Linked DNA regions of Drosophila melanogaster. The protein of the gene in region 2 purifies or fractionates together with the protein of the main gene of each other region. This does not show direct contact. Each region holds a gene or a part of one and is shown on either strand. Other genes may lie near its edges.

Evidence for each region.
Region 1: the proteins of dimm (region 2) and sqz purify together in Drosophila melanogaster (affinity purification with western blotting; one study listed by BioGRID). This does not show direct contact.

Annotation. Positions count from the first base shown.
Region 1 is NT_033777.3:19,162,359-19,170,354, forward strand, and holds the start of sqz (squeeze), read left to right. Parts: upstream 1-1,852; 5' UTR 1,853-2,558; intron 2,559-5,486; 5' UTR 5,487-5,676; coding exon 5,677-6,030; intron 6,031-6,210; coding exon 6,211-7,464; 3' UTR 7,465-7,996. UniProt on the Drosophila melanogaster protein: Transcription factor involved in neuronal fate specification. First required in embryonic CNS development to define the number of cells that express apterous (ap) in the ap thoracic cluster of interneurons.
Region 2 is NT_033779.5:21,329,811-21,335,020, reverse strand, and holds the start of dimm (dimmed), read right to left. Parts: upstream 3,266-5,210; 5' UTR 2,995-3,265; intron 1-2,994. UniProt on the Drosophila melanogaster protein: Transcription factor that regulates neurosecretory (NS) cell function and neuroendocrine cell fate. Acts as a master regulator of common NS functions such as Phm expression and neuropeptide production.

The DNA.
Region 1 (7,996 bases), on a different chromosome or scaffold from region 2:
AAATCATATTGTTATTCATGTTTTGAAAATATCTACAATTAATGTAAAGGTTGTTCTAATTTTGCCAACGATAACTACAAAACATATATGTTCTATCCAATATATTTACATACAGGGTATCAAATTTACAAATAAATTGGCAGTGTGGCCATACGTTGCGAGCAAAAATTACTGTACTTCAAGCATTGCCAACACAAGAATATTTTCATGGTTAAAAATTTTGGCGCGATAAAGCCGCAGTTTAAAATGTCAAAGTGTGCGCGTTCTTGGAGGTTTACCAAAATTTAGAATCATGCTTTTATTTATCGTGCATAAGTTGGTAAATTGGAATTAAATCAAGTTTTTTCCAATTTGTTTCTGGTGTGTCGTTTGTTTTGGGGTCTGTACGGCTGCTTTAATTAAAAAATATTAAAATGAAGCACGCTATTCTTTAAGGACTTTAAGGAAACGTACCTTTCTATGTTTGCCCAGGAGTTGATAGACGATATCAAGGCTGAGGATCGCATCCTACAATGTCCTTGGTGCGAAGAACAGACGTTGAGTCCATCAGCCAGCACCCGGAAACTTTTGTATTGGCTTTTAACGCTTTCAATTCGACTTTCAGAAAAGAGTCTCCTCGAAAATCACGACTGATATCCATGTAAATGAATCGGTAGATACTTGCACTTTCTTTTTAGTTATTAAAACTGACACACTGTCACTTTGCAGGTTTTAACCGCTGGCGGAAATGAAGAAGGAATCCGGGAATATTCATTTCAGTCCATTGTGGTGCACAGCGGAACTCCCCTCAGGAACAATCTTAGCCCACTAAACATCAATAAACTACTAAAATAACTTTGACTGCTGCTTAATTTCAAATATACATAAATTAATATTTTTTATTTTTAAGTTAAATTTTTTAATTCTTTTGGAGGCTCAAATTTTATATTTGGCGCAGCACTTTAATGTAGAAAATGTGAATAAAGAAATATTTCAAGGGTAAACAACAAAAAATGTTTTGATTTTGTAAAAAAAAAAACCTTAAAAATTATGAGGAGTTATAAAATAATTATCAGTTTCCGGAACTTTAAAATTCTTATCTTCAATTTGATCTTCAAGACATATTTTTCTTATAATAATATTATCAATAATATTATATAATATGTAACGGATATTTAAGTTCTTCATTTTCTTTTTCAGAAGTATTAACAAATGCATATATATAAATACATATATATTTATACAATAGAATCGCATAGGCATGAATTCAGCGCGCAAAATAATATAATTACAATAACATTGATATTATATAATAGATTATAATAATATACATATGTAAGTGTAAGTTATAAAATGGTAACAAAGTTCAACAGCTCATAGGCGAAGATCCAGTGGCACGGAATTTTCAATACAGCCAGGAGAACATCCTAATATTTTGGATAAACTCTTTGTGCCACTGTTCCGGGTGATGTGCATCATGTCCAGCACGGAGGACCTTATGTACCACTATTGCTGTTTCCTAGATTAGGATTCGCTAAAAGCTTAAATTGTAATTTCAGATTCCCAAAAATAGAAAATACCGCCAAAAGTCAGGGCAATGGCACTGCAGAAAGGATGCAGGATATTATATGTTCTTTTTGTTTTTCTCTCCCCAGAATTTGGCCCAATTAAATTTGGTATTCGAAAAAAAGAGCACGCCTCCTCCCCGAAACCGAAAAAAAACTCTGTGGCGCCGGGAACAAAAAAGAGCGCGAGAGAGTGAGAGCGCACACATAAAAAACATAAACAAGCCTTTTTCACTAGTGTGCGTTTGTGCGGAGAGAGAAGAGAGCGAAAAACAACTTCTGAAAAAAGACGCTCTTCGCTGTGATTTTTTTTCAGTCAGTTTTTCGACGGTCGTGAACACGAACAGTTATTCTAGCTCCTCCTGTTCTGCTGCTTCTGTTGGTGTTTTTTTGCGTTTGCCGCGACGTAAACAACCGAAGAGCGGAGCTTACGCCCCCAACTGCTCCAGCTCCACGCCCCCCTCGCAACGTGTTCGTTGTAAATGCAATTAATCGTTGTTGGTCGCTGAAAAAACTAATATTTCGGGAGTCCGATACAAGAAGGGCAAAAAAGCACAAGTGCAGAAAAAGCAAAAAAAAACATAAGCTTGCCGTGTGTGTGCGTTGGTGTGTGTGTGTATTTTTGGCGTGCGCGGCCATTTTTTCTTGTTGCCACTCGAGAGTCTCTTCTGTGTGCGAAAGAGAGGCCCGACGGCAAAGCAGAACGTAGCAAACTACGCAAATCCCCACTAAATTCGCTAATTTTCGCTAAATAAATCAATCGCAAGGGGTGCCCAAAAACAAACAAAAGTACGAAAATAGAGTGCCGCAGACCACAAACAAATCACCTGCGCCAGTGTGTGTGAGTGTGTCAGTGTGCGAAACAGGCAAGCTCCCAGGCGGGCTCCCACCCACAATCAGTCGGCGAACACGTGCTCCAAAATATCAACAAAAGTTGGCCCACAAACATAAAAAAGGGGGCCGCGACTGCATCCGAGACCCGAACGCCGGAACACAAAAGGCACTTTCAAATTGGTAAGTACTTTGCGCTGCACGAGCATGTTTTATTTATTTGCCTTATTGGTCAAACACACTTGCGATTGCGGTGTTTGTTTCTCTTTCCCGCGCTCACGCACAGTGGTCGCTTTTGTTATAATTGTGAGACTTGAAAACGATCGCCGTAAAATTCACATTTTTAACAAAATATTTACTGTTCGAAAGAGGGGTTTTTTGCGAATCGATGATTAGTTGACGTGTTATTATGAGAAAAACATAAAAGATTATAGGACATTATTTTTTTAAAAATGTTGCAAAAATGATTTAAAGTTTGCGATTTCCTTGTTAAATAACATGAAAGCGTTTACAGTTATTACTATTACAAAATTATAACGATTTAATATGCATATCCTTTATATATTAATTGCTACTTGAAAATTACCTAATGTAAAAACTTATATAAAGCAAATGAATTACAATTTATTTATTGGTTAGGACTCTATATCCTATTTTATAAAAAAAAAATAATAGCACAATTTCCAAAGTGTTTGTCCAGTGTTCCATTGGTCAAATACTTATTGTTTCCTTATTTCCGAATCTTCGCTATTTGGGGAATAAGTCAAAACCTTTAAACTCCAAACATTTGTAAGCCGAATGCGACTGTCAACAAATAATTAAACCAGAATAATTTCAAAAGCGTTTTGCAGTCGTGCCGCACTACTTGACCATTCCGTTTAGTCGCTTGTTTGACTTTTTATGCTCGTTCCCATTCATTTGGTGGCGGTTTTTTTTTCATTTGTGTTTGTGTGTCGATGTCTTTTTATCTTCCACTTTTTTCGTACTCATCAAATATTCGCTTCTTTTTTCGCACACATGTCGCCCCCAACAAAAGAGAGTGAGAGAGCAGTCCGATTGCGGTTGTTGCGCTGTTGTTGTTGTTCGCTCGCTCGTTCGTTTGTTTATGCTCGCTCTTTGCTCTCTTTTGTTTTCAGCTGCTCGCGCTCAATTAATTTTCGTTGATTCGTTTTTTGTGTGTAGGTTTTTTGTGTATACCATTTTATTTATACGCTTTTTGGGCTTCTCTTTCTCGTGTTTTTCTTTTTTGGGGTTTTCTTCTTTTTTTTTTTGTTGTATTTTTGGGGACTGACCGATTGCGTTTATTTATCCCCAATTTCCCCATTTGCATTCATTATGTTGAGCGGTCAATTTCCCGTGTTTCTGGATCTGTTGTTACACGGTTGCGATTACGATTCCGGCTTCTGTTTTATATTGCTCGCCACTTTCGCTTATTTCATATTACAATTGTTTGTTCGGCAAACAATTGTTTGCTTGTCGCCCCGTCTCGCTCTAAATGTGCGCAACAAGCGAGTGGCGCGTCCTTTTATTTTCTGCATTACATGGCCGCCCTCCCCCTCCCCATCTTTACACAGAATTCCTGCTACCATGCTGTTCAATTGTCCAACGTCAGCATTAACAACAACAACAACAAAGGCAGAACCGGTTATTTTGACCAGGCAAAACCAAAAAAAAAAAAGCCAAAAATTGAATTTACCTCTGACGTCAACACCCACCCGACCAAAAGGTCGTATTCAAATTCGCGCTCAGAATACAGTTTCCATTTCACAAGACCTGATTTTGCGATTTATATGCAACTATTTACTTATAATGCGTTATGCACATAAACCAATGTTGTTTAAATTAATTATGGAATACTTGGACATTTTTACAGACATAAATACATGAGTTTGAAAACCTTATTTCGTATCAAAAGTCACGTGTTTTATGCACATTATAAATATTTCGGAGACTTAAAATTAGTTAGTTAAAAGCCAAAACTGAATCCCAATTCGCATAATAATACCGACATTTTCTAGTGAAGATAAAAGCTATGATTAAAGATTTGAGTAATGACTTTTGCCTGTTTATTTGTAATGATACTATAGTTATTTGTATTTGTCAAATTTCAAATTATTCGTATGTTTGCATGAATGCACTAATATTTTATAAATATTTTTAAAACAACGCATTTAATGTTTTTAATTGAGCAATAATTGCGACGCATTGTTATTCAGCGAATTATCAATTATTCATCCCAGCTGAAATATTTAAACGCCCTTAAAAACTTTAAGTTTCATTACATTTTATCGCAACGTATTCTTTTCAAATACGCTTCCGTTTTGATTTAACGAGCAACAACTTCTGAAATAGATAATATATTCTAAGAAAATTGACCATTTTGGCGTAATTTAAAGTAAGATATTATTAATTCTTTTTAACTTTGACTTAATATAAGTTTGGAACACATTCTTTTCATGTGTTTTTTACTGTTGCATGGAAATCCCACATTTTAAGTAATTCATTTGGGATTTACAGACCAAGAACATCAGTGGTCCATTGGAAACCCGGCTGCATCGCCCTAAAAAGTGGCAGAGATGTAGTTGCATTCAGTTCTCGAGGTTGTTGACACGTTCCGTTGGCGCCCCTGACGTTTTTTGCCTTTTTTGCTTTTTTTTTTTTTTTTGCCTGCCCATCGTCACCTGGCCACAGAGTAATCGCGATTTTGGTTCTTCGGGCCAGAATGCGATTCCATTTCGCTTTCCATCTGGTGGTTGTCACCAACAATTTCTGGCCGCAAGCGCCTTTTTTGTTTATCTTGTGATTTTTTCCGTTGACTAACTCTTTTTTGCCCGGCATTGTTATTAATTCTCTGCGCTTTTTGCGCCCCATTGGCAACTTTTTACTGGGTTGCAACAGTTGTGCTTTCAGTCAGTACCTTCTGCGCGCAGCACGTTTAATTCACAAACAATTAATTAATTCATGCATATTTATGTTAATGTGCAGAAATTAATGTACCCAACGGCGGGGAGTGGAGCGGCCAAGTGGCAGAATCGAAAAGTAGTTTAAGCACTTGTGCCGACTGGGCACAAATTTGTGGATTCAAGAATTACAATATTTCTGTACTTTCAGCACAAAAACGCGCCGAGTTGTGTAAGCCCGCCGCCAGTGAAGTGTCGACTTCCCGGCGACGAAGACCGCAGCAATATTTCCACTAGCCAGTAACGCACAGGCTCGTTCCGCCGCTGACGACGACCCCAAACTGGACGCCCGCACCATCGCCTACCGCCCGCTGACCCTTGGCGGCCACCAGACGCCGCTTATGGCCGAACTGCCGACGGCGCCGAACGGCGTCCCCAGCGGCGATTATCTGCACCGCTCCATCGATCAGCTGCGTTCGCTGGGTCATCTGACCACCGCCCAATTGGTTCACGACTACAAGCCCTTCAACATTAGCGAATTCCGGCAGAATGTCGCTGAGCGACTGGACTACTCGCTGAAGAACGGCCTGGTGCAGCACCAACAGCAAATGGTCATGGAGCAGCAGCCACATCCCGATCAGCAGCAGCAGCAGCATCTGCATCACCCGCAACAGCAGCAGCACCCGCCGCAGCTGAAGGTCAGCTACAGTGCGCCCAACTCGCCGCCCACTCCACACGAGCAGCAGGAACAGAAGGTAATCACTTATTTCAATATTGAAAAAATATATCATACGCATATAAATGTTACTGATATGATACTTAAATTGCGATCTTAATATTTCTTCGGTCAAAGATTATATGACTTTGCTTTAGTAACCCATTCATCGTGTACTTAATACTAAACGATACCCTTAAAACGTTCTATCTACTTCCAGTACGACCCGAATCGATCGCCGCCGCGTCAGCAGATGAGCAGCGCTAGCGGCAGTGGCAGCAACGGCTCCTCGCCTGAGGAGGAAAGCCGACGGGGAGACGGTGATCAGGCCAAGCCCTACAAGTGTGGCTCGTGCAGCAAGTCCTTTGCCAACTCCTCGTACCTGTCGCAGCACACGCGTATCCACCTGGGGATCAAGCCGTACCGCTGCGAGATATGTCAGCGCAAGTTCACGCAATTGTCGCATCTCCAGCAGCACATCCGTACGCACACGGGTGACAAACCGTACAAATGCCGGCACGCCGGCTGCCCGAAGGCCTTCTCGCAGCTATCCAATCTGCAGTCACACTCGCGTTGTCATCAGACGGACAAGCCGTTCAAGTGCAACTCCTGCTACAAGTGCTTCAGCGACGAGATGACCCTGCTGGAGCACATTCCCAAGCACAAGGACTCCAAGCACCTGAAGACGCACATCTGCAATTTGTGTGGCAAATCGTACACGCAAGAGACCTACCTTCAGAAACATCTGCAGAAGCACGCAGAGAAGGCGGAGAAGCAGCAGCATCGCCACACGGCCCAGGTGGCTGCCCACCAGCAGCACGTACCGGCGAGCGGCATCGGCTTGAATTTGCAGCGCCAGGCCATGAACGATGTGAATGCCGCATATTGGGCCAAAATGGGCGCAGACAGTGCGGCGGCTTCGCTGGCGGAAGCCATTCAGCAGCAGTTGCCGCAGGCCGGCGGTCAGCCGTATGGCAACTTTGCATCCCTGCAGCAGCAGCATCAGCAACAGCAGCAGGAACTGCTGCATCATCAGCGATTGGCAGACACGCCGGGGCATTCGCATAGTCCTCACGAGGAGGCCGCGGGCGAGGATCTCGTCCTGCGCCAGTCAACACCACAACATCACCTTCAGCAACAACAGCAGCAGCAGCAACAGCAGCAGGCCCAGCAGCAACAACAAGCGCAGCACCAGCCATCGCCTGGACCGGGAAACTCGGCCTTCACTCCACTGTCGGCGACAGTGGCTCCACCGCCACATCTTCAACAGCATCGCGGTCCGCCAGGATCCGCCGCTGCCTATCTGTATCAGCAGAATGCGGCGGCAGCAGCAGCGGCTTTTCCCACACAGCTCATCTCGCTTCACCAGATCCGAAACTATGCCCATCAGCCAGGAGCGGCGGGTCTCATCGCTGGCGATCATCTCGCCTTGGGCCTGAGCGCTGTTAATGCCGCCAAAGAAAAGGCGCAATAGTACAGGCCGTCAGGTCGGGGCCAAAAGAGGCAGCAACGATGACATTAGCTTAGGATCAACGTTTAAGTTGGTATGGATACAAGAGCGTGGTATTTTATTCTCTTTGAATCCATACCAATTGAAACACTGAAAGTAAAATAAGTTACTCATAGTTTCCAGTTGGCAGTGGCATAGGAGCTGGGATTGTGACTGGTTTTTCTTAAGCATCCTTCCAACTTCCAAATTCATCATGAAACTTGTATACGATTCGGCCAAAATCAACTCCATCACTGCCCAAAACCAATAAGAAAATCAACTGCAATCCTACAGTTTCTGTGCTATTTTCAACTGCCATATGAAAGTAATATGTAATATCTAGATCAACTCAGGATTTTAAATACGATAATTATGCACACTTTTAGATATCTATAAGCAATATTCAAATTAAAACCTTGAACTATACAAATAACTCGATTATAAATAGTTCACAGTTTTATTTTCTACTAGGAGCAGTACAAAGTACAGCGATAAACCTAATTATATTATTATTATA
Region 2 (5,210 bases):
TTATGCAGTAGTTTTCTCAATGTCAAATACTTTTTTAACGAAAAAAATGATGCCATCTGGCCACATGACACATCACATAAGTTCTGCTTTAGGAATAAGATGAATTTCATACTAACATTCTGAAAGTAATAATTAAAGACGTGCAGAAAGGAAGAGGCACCTAGATAATAGTTAATGATGACGTGTATAATTTTTAGTGTTTTTACTCGCTGATTGTGACGTTTAATTCCCCGTGCACAGCAATAACAAAAGACTATGCTATAGTGGAGTTCCCCGACTATCAGGAACCCAGATATCAGAATACAATTAGAATGAAATAGGCGGTTTATGGGGGTTAGAGTGGGCATAGCAAAAAGTTTTGTTTATCAAATTTACAACACCAGCGAAAATATGAAAAAAGATCAAAACATTTTTCAAAAGCACGGGCGTGACAGGTTTGGTAAGTTTGTAGGTGTGGCAAAATGGGTCAACAAACTTGCGCTGCTTCTATGTCTCTAGAATCTGTATGCTTAACCTCAACCTTTTAGCTTTTATAGCTCAAGGACTGCTAGGTTCGGAAAAATCGAATTTCTTTTAATTTGAAATCTGGTATCGTTTGCCACGTCCAATTTTTGAAATCAGAATTTTCGAAAAAGATATAAAATCAAGAAGTTGAGGTTTTTTTTTTAAATCGCAATACCATTGTTTGTTCACGTTTGACCACCTTTTAGAATTTGAAAAAATGTATAATTTAGAAAATATATGACATAAAGCGTTTGACCATCGCTTACAACTAAATATTATCAATTAAAAACGTTTGCAAAACCATTATTATTATTTTCTTATCGTTTGCACACCCTTAAAACAAAAAAACTAAAAAGAAGTGTAAACTGCGGTTTTAGTAACTGATAATATTTTTTCACCAGATCGAAGGTGCTCTAAAAAATCGCGGTCGGTCATATGCAGCGGTTTGCACTGCCACTGACCACGAAAAATGCCCTCTTTGAACAAGAATTCGACTTTATTCGTTTAAAACATCACCAGATAGATATTGCGAGCCATTATAGTTAAGGCCATCTTTTGGTTTCATTTAGCGCAGTGCTGTACATCGTCGATTGCTTGTCTTTTGTAATGGTACAGTGGTGTTCACAAACTCTTGTGATTCTGTATATGGCTATGGATTTTGTATATAAAGAGCCTGAGTCGATGAGAACTTCGGACTTCTAAAAGTTTTGGGTTTGGTTGGGTTTAATCGGCCAACGCAGAAGTCAACAGCAGGCGTGTGATTTTCGTTGCCAAAATGGTCTCCTTGCTGATCTCAGGGACTTATGAGAATTCGGATCAAGGCTGTGCACAGGACAACTGCGAGGACGACTATTTTACTACATCCGGCGACGCCTTTTTTCGCTTCCAGAGAAGACACTATCATCGAGGTGCTTGCTGCTGAACCACGGATAAGTATTAGGGTTCTGGAAAAAGAGAGACCCCAAGATGCGATGCTTGCCGGACATCAATTGTTGTCACGTTGTTAGCTTCACTTTAATGTGTATAAGTATGTGAATTTGTGAAAGATTTTCATTTAGCAAAAGTAATGATTATTTAAAAGAGTTTTGGCTCGCGAACCGGTTCACCATTATAGGGCACTGTAACTACACGGTTCATGTAACATACTATATATCACCGTACTGTCTAGAAAAAAATCATGCTTGCGTAAGAGTGGGCGTGGCCAGAATGTTTAAGTCATTACGATTAAAAAATTAAGGTTTCATACCATCTATTTTAATTATATCGCAATGCAAAGATAAATGAAACATGTCCCAAAAATGAATTAAAAATTATGGCGGTTTATTTTTATGAAATAAAAGTTTACCCGCTTAATATTCTCTTTAATTTGCGAATACATCAACTTCTTGCTAAACTCTTTTGTATGTATACAATATACTTTTTTTGCCAAGAGTTGAGGAGTATAAAAAACATTTACCGATGAAACGCTTTTGCCGCATTGTCGTTGTTATGGTTATGCCCTTTGGCTTACCAGCATTTGACCCGGAACCTGCAGCAGCGTTTAAAGCGTGAGACAGACCAAGGAATACGCGGGACGAGAAATGTGCATTGACTTTGTTGTTAGAAACCGCGCACTTTGCAGTGCATTTATTCCGTCGTCGGTGTTGAATGAAACAAAAGTGTCGCTATTATTTAACGACAACAGCTCCTTGGACTTCAGACTCTTTGGGGTCTCTTAAGAAATGTTGAGAAAAGTGACATGGCTTAACACATCGGGGGTCTATTCAAAGGACAGATTTATAAATTCCATTTAACCGTTTCTTTAATTTGTATATCGCCTATTTTTATTAAACAATAAAACAGTATTTATAATTCAATTGGCTTTTAAAGGGAGAGAATAATTTTAACATTCGATTAGCCAACAGTAGATGAATAGCCTGAATCCAACGTATAATCCTAGAAAATTCTTGGACTCATTTATTTTGAAAACTTCCGCACAACCTTTAAATGTCATCTCATGGGAATGGTTAAACCATACTTCGATCAAGGCATTACAATAGAAATGTCTACTTCTTCCTTTGGAGACTTAACAGAAAATTTCACTTTCTTTGTTAGCGCTAAATAGGGGTTTGAGGATCTTAGCGATGCAACCTGCACCTGGTCTTGTGTAATATTTATTACGCTTTCTATTAAATAAAGCATACTTTTGTGAGCAATTGTTTGCCTTTTCTGTGCGGTCCACCCGCTAAGTTACAACAACGTATACTGCAGTTGACAAGTGTATGGGGAATTTTGTAAATGAAGTAAACTTATCCCAAGCCCGAATGACTACCGATTGTTGAAAAGAAATAAAATTAGTTTTCTATGCTTTCTTTTATTTTTCAATGGTTTGCTTGTGTAAGCTTTTCATAATTAGTCGGCTTTATTTTATAAGGTAAGTTTACTTTGTCAAAATTGTTGAACTCAACCCAACAACGCATTTCAGCCAGCTTAATTGTACTGACAACTTACATGTACTTGGATGTAATTAATCCACGATGTTTTTAAATATTTAAGTCACTTTTCAACAACTCTCACAATTCACGCTGCATTTCATTTTTGCTAAATATATATCGATCCTTGGCTATCCTTTTTCGTTTTCGAATTCTAAGCAATAGTATTTTTTAAAAACTTCCGCACAATTCGAATCAAATATCTCGGGAGCGCACAACGATTACCGGAAACGCGGAAGCGCTGGTGATGACGGCCACTTGTGGAATGGCTGAATGAACGAAGCGGTGCCATCGGCCGACCCGAGTCCAGACAAAAGACGAATCACAAGCCTGGCCGATGGGAGTCGAGTCGAGCAACAAGTCCACCCAGCAGAGGGGGCTGGAGCTTCCGCCCGCACGAGAGCCTGAGTCGAAACAGACTGGCGAATGGAGAGCAACTGAAAATACTCAAAAACGGAGTGGATTTCTGAGTCAGAGTGTTTTTTTTCGTATTTTCCAAAGTATTGAGGTGGCACCGCTGAAATTAGAGGATTATGTTATCTGGGGTCCTTTAATTAATGCCTGCATATTGACATTGCAGTCCGTACCCACGATAACTCCTTAATATAAATACTAAGTAACTGTTTGAATAAATTTTTTTTATATGAAAATGTTTACGAATGTATCTAATGCGAGTTCCGTTCGACACATTAAAGTGTAATGGTATTTCCTGCACTATTTTTAAAGTTTCATAGCCAAATGACTGCAAAACCAAGAAAGTGTTTGTTTTCGAACCCAAAATTAAATAAACTCAACTCGAAACTCAAATGCGAAATATTAAGTATTTATCAAACCAAAACTCCGTTGGCAGGGCATGACGTTCCTCTACTCACTCCGACATTATATCAATAAGTACTAGGTCCCATGAAAAACGAACGTAAAAACGTAAAACGAATATACCCTTCCCGGCACGTTGTCCCAGGCTAGCTCACACATACACAGATGCAGTTCCAACGCCACCACATATTTGCCCAACGGGGTGGATTGTGGCTCGGAGTTCCTAGACATGGACACCACGTGCTCAGGCTCAACTCCAGAGGGGGGTATTGAGCCATAGGGCAGGGGCACCCACAAGGGACTATGGGAAATTTTACCACTTTTTCTGACCAAAATGAATAACTCCAGAACGGAGTAAGATATTTGGTTTTTCTTTTCTTACATTGACTTATACTAGACCATATCTATGAGACTTCCAAAACTGTGGGCGTGGCACCACGCCTTATATTTAATTAACTAATTTTCGTAAAGGGAATTCTCCTTTATATAAAATAATACTAACAAAAACAAAAGAGAATGCTATAGTCGAGTTCTCCGACTATCAGATTGGGGAATAAATCATTTTTGGGGAATAAAATGAGAAAAAATTTCCAAAGTGTGGGTTTAACCGGTTCGGCGGCTTTAGGGCGTTAGAGTGAGCGTGGCAAAAATGTTTTTGTCAAATCGATAGGAATTTACAAGAATAATACAATTTTGAAAACATTTCAACATTTCACAAAATGCGGCCGTTTAGGCGGTTTTAGGGCGTTAGAGTGGGCGTGGAAAAATGGGTCAACAAACTTGTGTCTGTCTCTAGAATCTGTCTGCTGCATCTCAACCTTCTAGCTTTTATAGTTCCTGAAATCTCGCCGTTCATACGGACGGACAGGGCCAGATCTTCATACGGATAGTCGGACAGACGGACATGATAAGATCGACTCGGTTATTGATCCTGATCAAGAACATATACTTTATATAGTCTTAATCGCTTCCTTCTGACAGTTACATACTTTTCAACGAATTTATTTACTCTACGAGTAACGGGTATAATAATAAAACAAATCAGCAACAAATCAGCAACCGCCTTGTTGAACTCCTTTTTAGCATAAAAAACTTAACAAGAATACAAAGCTACAACATGAGGTACATTTCATTGATGGACTTTTTAAGTTAAGTCTTTATCAAACAAATGCTTTTGTAAGGAAATTTATATTTTACTCAATTTTGGGTACAACACGATTTTTTTTTATTTTGACAGTCACATAAACTTAATACACTTAAATCAGCTGCTTCATTACAACTTTTGTAACGGAGGAAAAACTTAACGTAAATGTTTTTGTAGACGCAACAGATGTTTTTAACAGCATATTTCTTTGTTGTTGCTCCATATATATTTATTTCTAAACATTGGTCAATTATGAATAGACTTATTAAATATTG